3 linked regions of the Arabidopsis thaliana genome follow. The protein of the gene in region 3 interacts with the protein of the main gene of each other region in a biochemical or structural test. Each region holds a gene or a part of one and is shown on either strand. Other genes may lie near its edges.

The links.
Region 1: of the proteins of SUMO1 (region 3) and CDF2, one has a biochemical effect on the other in vitro, tested with the Arabidopsis thaliana proteins (one study listed by BioGRID).
Region 2: the proteins of SUMO1 (region 3) and ML5 form a complex in vitro, tested with the Arabidopsis thaliana proteins (one study listed by BioGRID).

What each region holds. Positions count from the first base shown.
Region 1 is NC_003076.8:15,876,795-15,882,048, reverse strand, and holds CDF2 (cycling DOF factor 2), read right to left. Parts: upstream 3,324-5,254; 5' UTR 3,130-3,323; coding exon 2,896-3,129; intron 2,477-2,895; coding exon 1,337-2,476; 3' UTR 1,270-1,336; exon of another isoform or gene 968-1,269; 3' UTR 512-967; downstream 1-511. UniProt on the Arabidopsis thaliana protein: Transcription factor that binds specifically to a 5'-AA[AG]G-3' consensus core sequence. Regulates a photoperiodic flowering response. Transcriptional repressor of 'CONSTANS' expression.
Region 2 is NC_003070.9:10,289,487-10,296,530, forward strand, and holds ML5 (MEI2-like protein 5), read right to left. Parts: upstream 5,145-7,044; 5' UTR 4,895-5,144; exon of another isoform or gene 4,652-4,894; intron 4,237-4,651; exon of another isoform or gene 4,234-4,236; 5' UTR 4,211-4,233; coding exon 4,084-4,210; intron 4,008-4,083; coding exon 3,568-4,007; intron 3,471-3,567; coding exon 3,312-3,470; intron 3,220-3,311; coding exon 3,103-3,219; intron 3,012-3,102; coding exon 2,860-3,011; intron 2,778-2,859; coding exon 2,689-2,777; intron 2,612-2,688; coding exon 1,708-2,611; intron 1,614-1,707; coding exon 1,529-1,613; intron 1,450-1,528; coding exon 1,381-1,449; intron 1,297-1,380; coding exon 1,114-1,296; intron 985-1,113; coding exon 907-984; 3' UTR 512-906; downstream 1-511. Other genes in the region: COR413IM1 (COLD REGULATED 314 INNER MEMBRANE 1), read right to left, coding at 1-53. UniProt on the Arabidopsis thaliana protein: Probable RNA-binding protein that plays a role in meiosis and vegetative growth.
Region 3 is NC_003075.7:13,495,548-13,499,334, reverse strand, and holds SUMO1 (small ubiquitin-like modifier 1), read right to left. Parts: upstream 2,049-3,787; 5' UTR 1,870-2,048; coding exon 1,795-1,869; intron 1,186-1,794; coding exon 1,036-1,185; intron 955-1,035; coding exon 877-954; 3' UTR 515-876; downstream 1-514. Other genes in the region: VTC2 (GDP-L-galactose phosphorylase 1), read left to right, coding at 1-73; AT4G26830 (O-Glycosyl hydrolases family 17 protein), read left to right, coding at 2,936-3,787. UniProt on the Arabidopsis thaliana protein: Ubiquitin-like protein which can be covalently attached to target lysines as a monomer. Does not seem to be involved in protein degradation and may function as an antagonist of ubiquitin in the degradation process.

The DNA.
Region 1 (5,254 bases), on a different chromosome or scaffold from region 3:
TATTTTTGGTCATGGTTTGAATTGTTGTATTGTGTGGTTCAGTTCATTCTTACTAGTCTTGACAAATTTTGATACAAATTTCATATGAATACTTACTTTACTTTATGTAAAATATTCAGACGAAATTTCGTATAAATTTTGCAAGAGTAAGGCAGCGAGACAAACAAGTAGACTAAGAAAAACATAAAAAGCAAAGGAAAATTTCTTATAGCTAATTTCCACAATTAAGTAATCGTTTTCTCACCATAATCCGTGACTTGTTTGACCAAACGTAAGAAATCAATTAAACGATGACTAATTCAATAGTACTCTTATTGTTCTAGTCATGAAAAAGACTAACACGAATTTAATGTCACAATTGCAACTAATTTCCTTACTAAATTTCCTGGAAATTGCAACTGAACAAACAAGGTAGTGGCTTTCTTTTTCTTTTGGCGTTTTTCACAAACTTCTTCTATATTAATTTACTACTTATCTCTTAATATAGTATCAAAATGTTCTTTCATTGGTTGTTTTGGTCAATAGACGATAAATCTTCTGATATAGCTGACTTTGTCAATCCATTTAGTGTGGTTTCTTTAATATTTTTAATCCTAGATTATACAAATATCGAACCGTAGTTGGCAGCTTGCAATATCTTCTCTTCATGCATCTACCACATTGCTTTTGCTTATGTATGTTGTCAATAGACTCTCCATTCATGCATCAACCATGACCATTTGCTTGCAGTGAAGAAGCTGTGTTTGCGTTATTTTCGCAGTATTGGTGATCGCGGCTTGCTTTTTCGAGACTTGGTTCATGTCTTTGTTGGGTGATTTTTGGACTGGTTATAAGAATGACTACACATCTACTAAAGCAAACCTGATTTACCATGGTAAACACTTGACATCGCGGTCATCTAAGAAGTTGAAGACAGTGGTTCGCTCCTCCGCGGATGCCGAAAACAAGCTTGTTGCTGCCACTACTACTGAAGTCCAATAAGTTAGATCACTCTCAAGATTCTGAGAATCATACATCATGTGGATAACTATAAACGTTCCTTTAAACTTGTTTGAATTTGTCTGTGAACATACAATGTCATGATAGGGAAAATAAGTTATTCATGCAAGATACATTTATTTAACTACAGTTTTGAGGTTTTTTCATTTATGATACAACAAACTTTCACTCTGCAATCCAAAAACTACTTATCCCTCACTATGTCAACCATTATATATATATACACAAACATGTGTGTGTATATATAGCTATATGTACAAAAGGACTCACCTGCTTTCTTGGAACACAAGACTGAACCCAAAAACAATCAAATCAGCTGCTTAGATTCTTCTTCTTTCTATGAGCTCTCATGGAAGTTTGCTGACCTAGAAAGAGCAGCAGGATTCGCTTGCAACTCCGGTCTTCTTCCCGGAAGTCTTCCTTCAGAAAGACTGCTTTTTTCTTTGGTTGATGATCTGAAAGCTCCGAAAGTATCCGCATTTTCGTCTTTTTTGATCCCTAATGTTTCCCAGATGGAACTTTTAGCAGCTTCCTCTGGATCATCAATCCTCAGCGTCTTGGGAACCCACAAGCATCTCTCGGGTTTGCTTTTCTCCCTACCAAGTGACTCGGTTTCATCAAAAGCGGTTCCTGGTTCAGCAGCGTTCTCGTCACGTGAATGTTTACCTAGTGTAGGAGAATTTGGATTGGAACCAGATGGTGAATTGGGTTGTGGCATCCATGTGAAGCTGTTCCATGCCCCCGGTGAAACCCCCGGGCAGCTCCAGTAAGCCGGTGGAGGGTAAAACGGTAAAATCGTCCACGAAACTCCGTTCCAAGCGTAAGGCCAAGTTGGTGGTGGTCCTGGAAAGCATGGAACTTTTGGTAACGGGCTGACTGTTCCAGCTTCTTCGTTTGTCTGGTTTAACGGAACCGTAATCTTCAAGCCTTCATTGGGTTCTTGCAATACAGTTTGTGTCTTCAACAATGACTTCTCAACAAGATTCAATCCAGAAGCCATAGATTCACAAAGCACAGAATCAGAGCCAAAAGTGAGAAGATTTGCACCATTAGGATGTTGAAGATCAGTTCTCGCCACCTTCTGCATAGCTTCCGCAGATGTTATACTTACATGACGGTTATAATGAGAAGCTGGACTCTTATTCTTACGTCTCCCAGCACCAACCGGAACATTCCTCATCGTTCCACCAGCTGTCCAATATCTCTGACATTTCTTGCAGAAATGGCGAGGTTGGTTAACATTATAGTTGTTGTAGTAACAGAACTTGGTTTCCATGCTGTTACATCGCGGACACGGTAGAATCTTATCAGGTTTCTTTAACTTCCCCTCTTGAGAGCAAGCAGTACCACCTGACTCTTCATTCGTCTTTGCAGCTTTTGTTGTTTCCGTTTTTTCAGTTATACCCGATGTAGTAGTAGTAACATCATTAGATTCATTCCTCAATGACTCTTCCTGACACTCACTATCTTTTTCTTCCTGAAGAATAACATAAGAACCAGAGTCAGATCGTTGTTATGTATCCTAATCAAACAAACAACAAACAGAAGCTAGAAGCTACAGGGATCAAAGACTTGATTCCAATCACAGAGAAGCTAAAACCCTGAAAAGTTCTTAAGCAAATCAATATCAAAACCTATAACCATCAATCAAAACCAAATGGAACTAATTAAGATCTCAAATCACTTTATAACAAAAGGAAAAAAAAAAACTCATTTGAGAATCCAGATTTACAATTTTCGAATCCCCAAAAGCTCTGAAAACCTAGTTCTTACATAAACAAACCAAAAATCATAACTTTATCAATAAAACTAAGATTTGACCAATCTAACATAAACCCATCAATCATTTCCATTTAACAAATCAAAATCAATTCACAAGTTCCAAAAAAAACTAACCTTTTTATCAGTCTCGCTCTCTCCTCCACCATCACCAACATCATCACCTTCTTCTCGTCCTAAACCGGAATCACCCATCTCTTCATCATCATCATCGCCGGTACACGAATCTGATAACCGAACAGGAATCTGAGTTTCGGTTAAAAATCCGGTATAGCTAGAAGAAGAATCAACAACACCAAGCTCAGGTAAAGGAATCGTCTTTCCAAAGAGCTTAATCGCCGGATCAGCCATGGTAATGATTCCTTTTCACTTCTTTCTTTCTTTCTTCTCCAGCGAGCAAAAAGCGGAAACTTTTTGAGAAGACAGAGGAAAAAAGTTCCAATTTTTATTTGTTTAAAAGAGAGAGAGAAACGACTGTCTTGTTATCGGTGGTTGTCTGAGTTTTGATTTCTAGATTTGTTAATTGGGAATGCTTTTTTGTCTTTGCGAGAGAGAAAGAAAAAAGATTTACAGATTTTGCTTTTTGGGTTTGTGATCTTTCGAATTGTACAACCTTTTGATTCGCCCAGAGTGCCACGTCATCACACGTGAGGATTCTTAGCCACAAGTTTATTTTTGTTTTTGTGGACTTTTTTTTTTCTCTTTTTCGTCTCTTTTTGGCTTTCTTTTTATTTTCCTTTTCAATCTGGTCAGTGGTCAGCACTTTTTTTTACTTTTACTTTTCTTTTCATTTTTAACTTTTTTATTTTAAAAGTCTGAATTTTTTTAAATTAATGTAAAAATGGTTGATTAAAGGCCATTTAACTTCTAATTTACATGTTTTCTAATTCTAACTATGTCAATAAATTTTTTGTTACCCACACATTTATTAAAAAATTACTGTTTATAAATGAAATTTCAGAAGAAAAAACAAACTTTAGAGTAACAAACAAAAAACATATTTAAAACCTTGAAACACTTTTTAATTCCTAGCTTTCTATAATAGCCATATCCATGGAAAACAATATCATGATTAGATTTGGAGAGAAAGAAAAAAAAAACATATTTATGAAAGAAACAAATTACATGATATAAACATTAATTTTCTCATTTTTAAAGAACTAAGAAGATCCAACAAAAAATTAAAATACTAAAAAAATATAGTATTTTATCCCCAAAAAAACCAATCTTTGTCTTCAAACAAATCCATTTTACAGATTGATACTCCTTGTGTTCTTTTTTCTTTGATTTTTTAGGAAAAACACAAATATTAAGAAAACATATTAAATGTTGCTTTTAAATGTATTATTCTTTGTAATTTATAATTTTCAATAACTCTAAACCAATGATATTCAATAATTCTTATTGAAGTTTACAATTTATCAATTATAACTAAATAAATATTGCATTGAAAACCAAAAAATCAATCTTTTTGAAACAATTTTTTTCTAGAAAATCAAAAAAAAAAAACAAAAGGAGTATGTGTTTTTTTACGCTGATAATAATAGTCATTTAGTTACAGTTTTAGCTTGGTACTTGTAGGAAAAATAAATTAACATTGAAATCACTTTCTTTTTTTTAAATGAAGCTACAAGTATTTACTATATAGTGGATCTTCAGTTTCTTTCCTCTTTTTTGCCTATATTCTTGTCATAAAATCTTCAACATATCAGAGATACGTGGCTGTAATAAGTCGATGTTAGAAGTTGTGGTTACTAATGAACGCCAAGTCGATTTGGAAAAAGTGCAATATTGTGGATAAGAAGTAATTGAACGCCAAGTCTAACATTGAAAAAGTGCAATTATGTGGATAAGTATATAGTACCTTTATTTCAGACCACCCCAAATCACAAATATATACTATATAATAAAGTTTTTTCATTACATTTATTATATTATCCCCACTTGGAGGCACGACTGATAAAGATTCTTAGGAAACATATTTTATCATTTTTCGACTGTTTCCCCGAACTAAAGAAACGTTATTTGAGTTTTGTTTTATTAAAATTAGCATTTTTCGTATAAAAACAAGTCTCGTTGATATATCACATGACTTGAACATTCTCGAATTAGAACTTGAATGAACTATATTGTAAAAAAAAAAAAAAAAAAGAACTTGAATGAACTATATTGTAAAAAAAAAAAAAAAAAGAACTTGAATGAACTATATTGTAAAAAAAAAAAAAAAAGAACTTGAATGAACTATATTGTAAAAGCTGGCTAAGTTCATTAAGTGACTCTTGGTGAAAACGGAGAATTTTTGCTTAATGAAAACATGGTGATCAAATTTCGAATATTACAATACAAGATTGATTCGAATAAATTTTCATATCGTTACTAGGAAAAACAAAACTCCATTTCATTATTGCTAATTGGGTAGACTTTTTATCTTCGTATTTATAGAAAATTTGTAGATCAAGTTATGTGTTTATGTAGA
Region 2 (7,044 bases), on a different chromosome or scaffold from region 3:
TTCTGGTGGTGAAGAGAAACGATCCGGGACGATGAGAGACAGAGACTCGCCATGAAATTGTTTAGATTTAGTCACAGTGGTGGAAAGATTGACGGAGTGATCTTTCTGTTAAACGACTATATCACTGCATGAATATATGATCGTTACGTGGACGTGTTGATTTCGTGCTTTAGAGTGGAGCCGAGTTACACGTGATTGGAAAACGAGAGTCGCTCACTATCAATCAAAGAATCTTTGAATCTCCACCGTTGGAATCAACTCCAATTCAAATCCACCCCACTTAGGATACCACGTCAGCTTTACCATATCTAATTCATTGGAACATGACAAAATTTCATGTCGATCATAGATAATTTCACTAGTTTTTTTATTTATATATATTGCAAGTCTTATCATAAAATAATTGTAAAGCTTAACGCAAAATTTCATTGGTACCGACATAACTAATTTCAGTTTCAGATGTATATCTTCATCTTTTCAAATGTTGTGCCTCTGTTTTTTTTTTTTTTTTGCAAGACAGACTTCTGTCCAAAAAATAAGACAAAAAAGACTTGAGAGACAATTCTTTTTTTCTTACTGTACAAATTGCCAAAAGCTTTAACAAGAGTTGTGAGAGTTACAACATAATACCCACATAAAACCGAGTATTCATGGTTTTTTTTTTTACATATACTCCATGGAACCAAAAAACATGAAGAAAGAAAAAAAAAAAAAAAAAACAGAGTAAATACTCGCACAGCTTCTGCATGCAGCATTTAAAACCTGCAATTCGAAAACACACTTCCGCAGGGTCCTGCATGCATCAGTTAACTCTGCCTTTCACCAATATGTACGGTTAAAAATTAGTACTTAGAAAGAAAAAAAACAGCCATTATCACAACATTGAGTCGTCTCTCAACTCCTGTGTCAGCTTCTCTCTCTGCCATCATCATCACTGAGCTGAGAGTCGAGGAGGTCCATATTCTTAGATTCCTCATCAACAACCTATGAAGAACAAGAATACCATAGCTACTTAATCCGAGTAATAAGTCTAAAGATCATCGCTAACTATATTATGCAGTATTAACTTCCATAAGGTTTAGCATTAACTTTCAGACCAAAGAGTAACTTTACCTGTTCAACAGACTCTGGATTGTTGGGAGTGTCGAAGATAATTGGACGACAACGCATATCTTCATTCATCAAGCTTGAGTTCTGAAAATGGGCTATAAGGGCAGATTTTCCTTGTATCCGAGCATATGCCAATGAAGCTACTTTCTCACTGTTGAACTTCTCCCACTTCTTCCCATTAAAAGCCTGCAAATATTGGATGTTTGTTAGTTCACCTTTCGAGTGATCTTAGCTAAAAGTATAAGAAAGAAAGCGGAGAGGGAAGGAAACCTCATAAAATGGAATGATGAGTTCTGGATTGAGCATGTTGATGAATGCATAGCCCACATTGCATTTGTTCTGCAAAACCAAAGATTTATTAACCGCTCGTTGTATCAGTTAGTGATTTTGGAACTTTGAATCTCTAATCAATTTTTACCTTGAAATCAATGGGCAAATAGAGAAAGTTGTAAGTTCCTTGGTTCTTTTCATCGATTGCAGCTAACAACATCTTCGAGGTGTATCTGTTGATATAAAAGAAACTCATTCAGTAATCTGGCTGCATCATATTCCAAGTATATTTCAAGAGAAGTAAAGATAAAGAAAGGAAAAGCTTACTTGTTTGGAATGTTTTTAATCATCAAGGTAGTCCGAGAATCCTCTCCATTAAGAATTTTCTCCAAATCAAGTTGAAACTGTTTCCTGCTCTCAACCTGGTTCGAATTGTTCTCAACTCTACGAGGCCTACCATTTTCATACAAACTGTCAAAGCCAGAGGCGAACCGCCCTGGGTTTAGACCGCTGCTTAAGAACATGGGGCTGAATCTCGGTGAAGACATCATTCTGTAACTTGAAAAACCGTTTTCGGCCATGCTTCCAGAGTTAATGATCCCATTATTTGCCATTTTGGAAGAGAAACTTCCACCGTTGAGACCCATTCCACTCATTCCTTGAAGACCAACAGTGTTCATGAACAAAGCGTCCTTTGAAGACTCTGGGACGAATCCAAAATGCTTTTCTAGAGGAACACCAGATGGTGCAGACCCAACATGGAAGTGATGATGGCTACGACTTTGATTTTGATGCTGATGTGGAAATGGAACAGATCGGTCTACTCGAGTTGAGAAGAGTGGATTCCCAGTGGATGATGTTGACCAAACCGAGGAACTTGAAGGTTCAGAGCGTGCGTTAGGACTTCCCCAGAGAAACTCTGAACCCGACAACGTCTCAATTCCACCTCCATTTGAGATCAAAGGACCTGAAGGAGAGAGATTTCCTGTGTACTTATTATCCATCTTAGGCTCTTGGAATAAATGTGATGACTGTTGGAAGCCGTTGCTACCAATTTGACCCCTGCCAATGGGTGCAAGCTTCGAGCTTGGTCCTTGTGAATTTAGAGCAGAAGCCAAACCAGACAAGTGGCCGTTCCTTGTAGGACTTAAGCCAAAAACAGGTGACCTGCTAAGTACACTTTGAAGCGGACTACCTTCCACGGGACTGTTCAGCGGCCAGTTACCTTGCACTAAATCAAACAGTTTCAGTCTTTGAGGATATTATAAACAAATTTGTTTGAAGAAGAGCATCAAGAAATAGACTCACTTGGGGGAGAGTTTGCCATGGGTGAACCAATCATCGGTAGGTAGTGCAAATCATCGTTCTCAAGATCTTGGTTAAGTTGCAACATCAGGCTAGCAGATCAAATAAATGGTCAGATGTAAGAAATGTAATGGCATTCATTATTCATGTAGCAGATCTAAGAAAGAAAGAAACCTTCGACGAGCTCCTCCAGGGCGACTAGGTTCAACCTTTATACGTTTTCCTGCAATCTCACACCTGTTTAATGCCTTCAATGCTGCTTCAGCACCGCGGACATCATAAAACTCGACGAATTTGTGATGCCTCTTATGTGGTGTTTCTCTTATCTGTTTTTCATGAGGAAAACAGAACTTAATATGGATGTTTTTCTTCCAAACCAGTTCAAAGCTATCAAATAAACAGAATGATATCTATCACCTCTTTGATCTCGCCATGAGCACCAAAAATTCCATGTAAGTCATCATTAGAAATTGAAGGATCCAGGTTAAACACCACTAATGTCCCCTGATTCATATCTTTCTCAGATGGATTATCCTACAAATTACACAGGAAACAGGCTCAATATAAACAAACTAGGGGTGCAACTAAGAATCGATGACATTGTTAACAAAGAGCTATCAGCAAACCTTTGGAATTGAGAAGTGAATGTCCAATTTTCTACGTCTTAATGGCTTATTCTGTAAAGACCTCATAGCCATTCGAGCAGAACGAATGTCATAATAAGATATCATGACAAATCCCCTATGCTTACAAGTGGTATAGAGCGTTCTAATATCACCGTATTGCTGCCACATATCACAAAAAAGTTAACCCATCAGTGTCTGTAGAGTAAGTTTGTTATAAAAAATCCAACAGTGTCAGGTCAAGTTTTGTTGAAGTTACCTCAAAGAGAGCTGTGAGTTCAGAGTCTTCTACATTGCTGTTAATATTCCGGACAAACAATGTTCTCGAGGGATGTTCACCATAAGGATGCTCACCAGCAACTGTTCCTGCACCATTTGGAATATTGAATTGCGGAATTGCATTTCCACCAAGACTTGAAAGTGATAGCCTTGGAGGACCACTCATACTCAAGTTGTCTCGAAAATCAGCGTCAAGTTCCATTCCTCCTCCACTACCAAAAAGATCATAATCATCAGCATCTGGTAACTCCCCCAGGTCAAGATCATCCATCATCCCTGTCAAAAGATCCTCTTCATCAGGGAGCAGGTTTCCAATGGAATGAGATTCAAAGTCATCAGCACTTTCGTTAAACTTGTTTGTGCGAGAAACAGCCGTATCGTCTATCAGTGAGAAACCATCTCTGTTATCACTCAATTGCACTGCAAAAGAAGTAAAACTTGTCAGCAAAAGAGAGAAGAAAGCCATATATAAACGAGTAAGGGATTCGGTTAATACGTTTTCCACGGGGGAAAACAGGTAAAGAACTGGAGAACAAAGTAGCATCACTGGAGGGATGATGGTGACGACCAAAACCAGGGAGAATCCCCCAAGCTCCAGCTTCTGCTTCATGTGGAATATCCATTCTAGCAACTTCTTTCTTTTGATCTGCTTTGCAAAATTAAAAGAGAATAAACGCATTAGCTCACATTTATAATAATCACATGTAAAATCTTCACAGGTCAGATAAACTTTGAGAATCGAGATACAAGAGTAGACAACACATTTGAAATCTCAAGTCATGTGCTGAAAAATTAACATGCAAGCAAGAAACCATAACCTAAAACCAACAAAAAAGCTTGATCAATACAAAACCACAAGTTTTGATCAAACAAAAGTCGTGAAAGTAATCTTTTTTTTTCGAAAGTCTAAAAGTTGAGCATTTGACTAACACAATAGTCAAATGATGAAGCTTTAACTCAATTAACATCAAAATTAAGAAGATCGTTGAACAAATAACATGATTAAACTCATTAAGAAGATCAAACCAACACAGAACTAGGTTACTAGGTAAAAAGAAACTAACCCAATTTACTTCTTATAATCTCCGATCATCAAAAAGCTGAAAACTTTCAGAGACACTATTGATCGAAATCGCCGACATAACAAAAGAGAAGAAACCCTTTAAGAAGGGGTTTTAGACTTTAGACAAAAACCCAGAAAAAAAGTTGAAAATTTTCAGTAGAAAACCCAATCAATTGAAGAAGAAAAACATGAAAAACCCAGAAATCAAAATTTGTTGCGAAAGTGAGGAGGTAAGAGTAAATACCTGAAATGTGCAGTTACCAACACCGACGATGATCACGATACAAAGCACGAAGAGCAAAAGAGAGAATCTCTACCAACCAAAATAAAATTAAAATTGAGAAGAAAAAAAAAAGAGAAGAAGGAAGAAAAATTGAACTTGTCTCTTTATTTTTTAATTTTGAGGGTTTAATAGAGAGAGAGAAGAAACAATAATGGTGGAGAAAAAAAAATATCAGAGAAGACAAGAAAGGATGAGAATGATTGATGTGGCTAAAGAGGTTTTTTCTTAACTGTATTTAAATACATTTTTGAGTCCGACGATTTCGACACTTTTTATTTTATTTTTTTAAACCTATGATTTTGACACTTCCGTGTTTATCTCTGTTATATCATCATCTACAGTTGTAACTATCCCATTAATATGTTAAGATTTTATGAAATCAAAAGTTTATTTGAGTCAAGAGTATCTTTACTAATTACTATGCATTTTTTGACATACACATTTATTATCAGCTAGTGTCATCTAATGCATGGGATAGTGGATATACCAACTAAAAATATTCAGATTCTTTTGAGAGGTACAATGTATCCATACGGAATTGTAATCTTTGTTCGCATTTTACATATTTTAAAAAGAAAAATGAATTTAGATGAATTTTCAAAAGAGTTTATCCATAAGATTAGGAAATAATTGGAAAAAGAGAGTAAGGAAAACCGTGAGCTTTTTGTTTTGAGCAAACACATGGTAATATCGTTAGGCACACTATTGGTAATATAGAGTTGATTTTTAGTAATGTCTTCTGTTTGTTATTGTTAGCATAATAATGTCGATAGTTAAAATACTATTGTATTTATGAATGAGATATTTTAAAAATAATTGGGTAATTTTCTGCGCTATGCGAGCAGAAAATATGTTACGTCAAAAGCAAATTTTTATGAAAAAATGATGTAAGAAAAAAATTTGGTTTACGAAAAAATATATTAAATAAAAAGAAAATCAAATTTATTTAATAAATAATATGAAAAGATATTTAAAATTATATATTTGTATTTATGAATGAGATATTTTAATATCTTTCAAATTAATAATGTTGACTAACAAAGACAGCATATAGTTTATGGTTTTAGGTATATATTTTGATATTTTCCAAACGAGAAAAAACTATAAAATTTGACAGCAATGTATCTTAATATTTTGTAAAGTATACAATTGTGATGGCTTTAGAAAGTTTCAACTTTCAGTCATACCCATAAATTCTTCGTAGCTTCTTACACTATCTGAAACATTTTTTTTTTTTACTTAATCAAATTGGATAAAAACGGAGCCAATATGTTGCTTAATTGACTGAGTATCATCCAAATGAAGTGAATACGTTGTTGTCGAATAATGGATGGTCAGGCACATATAGTCAACGACTCAACCCCATATAAAAAGTTTAGTTTAATTGTAATCTCTTACAGAAATTTAAAACAATCTTAGTTAATCAAATTACGCGGCACTGATCTTACGCCATACGGAATCATCAAGTAGACCAATATTTGACCAAAGAATAATGCAACATCTTTAAGATGTTAGTTGGTAATATGAATTTATTTCAAAAATACTCTATTGTATGTATTTAGTTTATTATTTTCCCCCCATCTATCTCATATCAATGATTGAAATAAATTCATCTTTTATTTCATAGTATCGAGCGTACATACATGACAAATTATTTGCCGGGAGGTCGGAAAAGTCGAAGAAAAGATTTATCAAAAGTGTCCTGGATAATGTTTCATATTCAAAAATACCTATCTTCCCATAACAATTAATTGAGATGTCAAGTCATCGTCCACACAAGGAAAATAATGCAGCCTTATATGTATCTATACTTGAGGATCTATAAATTAAAACGAATTAGTTGCTTAATACTAATATATACGGATTTGAATGATCCATGACTTTTAGAAATGTTAAAGAGAAATAAAACATTCTATATTCGTTTATAAAATTAAAAATATAACATACAAAATTACTAGTGAATTTCTGTACGAAACAATGAAATAATGACTAGACCGAGTCAGCATGAGTAGTTTATTATAGAAGTAAACAATAGATAATTAAAATTTGCAAAGAAGTTAAGAAATACCACACTTCATCATATAACTGGACCCTCTAATTATTTTATTTAT
Region 3 (3,787 bases):
CCAGAAAAGCAACAGAACCCATGGAGGTCCGATCACAAATGGGACGGCCGCCGAGTGCCTTGTCCTTCAGTGAACAATATGGTGACTTGGTGGTTTGTATGTATAATTAAAAGCCTAAATAAGCAAACTCTCTTTGTAGTTGCATTTGAAGCTTCTTGGTTTATGTATGATGGTTGTGGGCATTTTGTGCCTAGACTTCTGGTTCTTTGTTTTTTGTTATGAGTTGGTGTTTATGAATTATATATGTTCTTCACTAATATGATTATTATTTGTATAGATTTGATTATTCAAAGGATATGTCTTAAGAAGGGGTTCAGGTTCAGCCAACTAATTACTTGTAACCAAGTCTTTCTACCATCAACAACCATGTTAAGATTCAGACACTTAGTTTTTACAGCTCGAGACTCGAGAGAGAGTAATAATACTGATTATTGTCTTGTCTATAACCACCACAAGCTCTGGTTATGAAGTCGTCCTCTATAGACTATAATTCACTAACTCGATGCTAGTTCATGTTTAAGTAATATTTTGTTTAGTTGACTAGATGGATTTTATCTTTGCTCGCCATTAGCTCAATGAGCTACGTATATGTTAAGAGTCACACTTTCAATAATTAATAGCTTTTTACCGTTACCATACCAACAAACTTTAGATAATTGGGTTAATAACACCTTTAAGCCGAAATAGTAGTATCATAGGATCCGATACCAAACGAACAAGACAAAAAATCAACCAAAGGGTTCTTTAACCTTCGTGACCATAATAACTTAGTTTCTAAAGAGAATGGTCACGATAAAAAAACAAGTCTGCAAATCCTAATGCCGATTACTCCTTAACCATTCATATCACACACAAGCCCTAAACCTGGACGAAGTGTCAGGCCGTAGCACCACCACCGCTGCCACCAGTCTGATGGAGCATCGCATCGATCTCATCACCATCCTCCATGTCAAGCTGTAGTGTCAAGAATTATTAGTATCAGAAACTATAAACTTCAAAAGGTAAGAAATAAAGCATGTAGAATGAATGTTATACCTCATCGGGAGTTTGCTCAGCACGAAGACGACGCCCATCAAACAAGAAAGCAATGGAGTTCATGTCCACAGATTGCCGGTCACAGTAAGCATTCATCAGCTTCTTGAGCTGAGTGCTTCTCTTGATCCTAAAGAAAACCTCGTTTCCATCCTATAAAACAAACATATAGAAGGAACAATAAACGTTAGAGACCGCATATGAAACAATAACTAAATCACATGGCTCTCTTTTGGTAGTAACCTGAAAGAGTCGAAAAATTAAACACATATCAACAAACATTCAGTTTAAGGCTTCGTCTATGAGAATTTGAAGCACAAACATCAGCCAAACTAATTGAAAACTTAGTACAGAGACTACAACTTCATCAGAAGATATATAACAACTTAGTACAGAGACAGCATCGTTCACAGTCTTTAGAACATTCAACAACTAAGTAAACTTATCCCTTCCAAAACTATAAAACCCTCAAACAACAACAGGAACCAAAAGCTCAATAACAACTTACACCTAAACAAGACTTATATAATTTCAGAAATTTGATAAACAATTAGCAAAAACAAGCAAACGTGTAAACATAAAGCAGGATACTTTAAACCTGTAAAACAAAAGAGGAAGAAGACCATTAAGACTGAGCTAGTAGTACGAAACCCTAAAATTAAACCAAATTGGAGAATGAAAAACCCTAATCGCAGCTACACGAAATCAGAAACCCAAACATTCACAAGAACACACAAGGATGAGAAGGAGAAAGAGAGATACCTGTCCCTTGACTTTGAGATTGATGTGAGCTCCTCCGTCTCCTGGCTTCTTGTCTTCCTCCTGGTTTGCAGACATCGTGAAAGGTTCTCCGTCCGGTTACAAAAACACGAAATTTGAGAGAACGATGAGAGATTCACACAATCAAAGAATGATGCTGAGAGATGAATATAAAAAGACTGACTCTGAAAATCTCTCTAATTGGCCGTGGCTTTTGTACTTGGACGCATCGGATTCCTCTCTATCATAAATCGTAGGGCATCTATCCAACGGTTCATATTCTCTCTAGGTTCTCTTTTAATCCAACGGCTGCTAGTTATGTTCAAATCTGTCGTTTCGTTATAATGGGCTTATATTTTTATTGGGCCACATCTAACCCACTAGACAATTTCATTTGGTTAAATATTTTAGGTTGCAGTTCCTGATCTCACGTGACGTGAGTCCTCCTATCCACCACTCTCCATGATTTCATCATCTGTTGAAGACTTGACAATTTGACATAGAAGAAATAAATAAATTGTTAAATCTATAAATCATGTCACTTTGTGTATTAACAAAAAGATTAGTTGAAGGAGATAAAGTCTGTCACACACTCTTCACAAAAGAAAGAAATGATGATGAATTAACGAAATATGCGCAATGCAACATATAAAGAACCTAGGTCTTGACTCTTGTTTAAGAAACAATAAAAGTCAAGGTTTTTGTTAGGTTTCTGTTATAACCAAAATCAACTATGAAAACATTCATATGTTAGAAAAACATCAAAATTATAGAGAGTTCCTTTAACTGAAGATTATGGTAAAGTAAAACTTTTTGCTATAAATAGAGCTTTAAAATTATACAGTTTTAGTTAAATCTATTATTTCAGCTATTCTTCCGTGTTATTAGTTATCCCACAACCCCCACTTGGCACTTGTTTACACCTAAATCGTATAAATACTGTAGACCAGCTCCGTCCCAAACGCAACAAAAACTTTCCTTCGTCTCCATAACTATCAAACGACACTCATCTATGCGTTTAATGCTCTGTTTCTGAAGATACACTCGAGAATAACCATGGCCGTTTCTTTCTTACCTTATTTTCTGATTCTTTCCTTCCTCTCAGCCATTGACGCACGTTAGTTTTTAATCTCTTCATATACCTATGTCTGTCTCTGTATTTGCCGTGTCTACTACGTTGTTCTTATTTTGCGTTTTTTTTGTTTTTGTTTCCACAGATTCTGGAATGGTCGGAGTCAATTATGGTCGGATAGCTAACAATCTCCCGTCGCCGGAGAAAGTAGTGAACCTCCTGAAATCTCAAGGAATCAACCGTATCAAAATCTTCGACACCGATAAGAATGTACTAACCGCACTTGCAAATTCCAAAATCAAAGTAATCGTCGCTCTCCCTAACGAGCTTCTCTCCTCCGCCGCCTCCCACCAATCATTCGCCGACAACTGGATTAAAACCCACATAATGCCATACTTCCCAGCGACGGAGATCGAAGCTATCGCCGTCGGTAACGAAGTATTCGTCGATCCGACGATCACGCCGTATCTTGTCAATGCGATGAAGAACATTCACACCTCTCTGGTTAAGTATAAACTCGACAAAGCCATCAAGATCTCGTCTCCTATTGCTCTTAGCGCGCTTGCTAATTCGTACCCGCCTTCCTCTGGTTCTTTTAAACCGGAATTAATCGAACCGGTTGTTAAACCAATGCTTGCTCTGCTTCAACAAACGTCGTCGTATCTTATGGTAAATGCTTATCCGTTTTTCGCTTACGCAGCAAACGCCGATAAAATCTCTTTAGACTACGCTCTGTTTAAAGAAAACGCCGGGAATATAGATTCCGGTACCGGATTGAAGTACAACAGTCTCTTTGACGCTCAAATAGACGCCGTTTACGCGGCATTGTCCGCCGTCGGATTTAAAGGCGTTAAGGTGATGGTGACGGAAACAGGGTGGCCTTCCGTTGGAGATGAGAATGAGATTGGTGCAAGCGAATCTAAC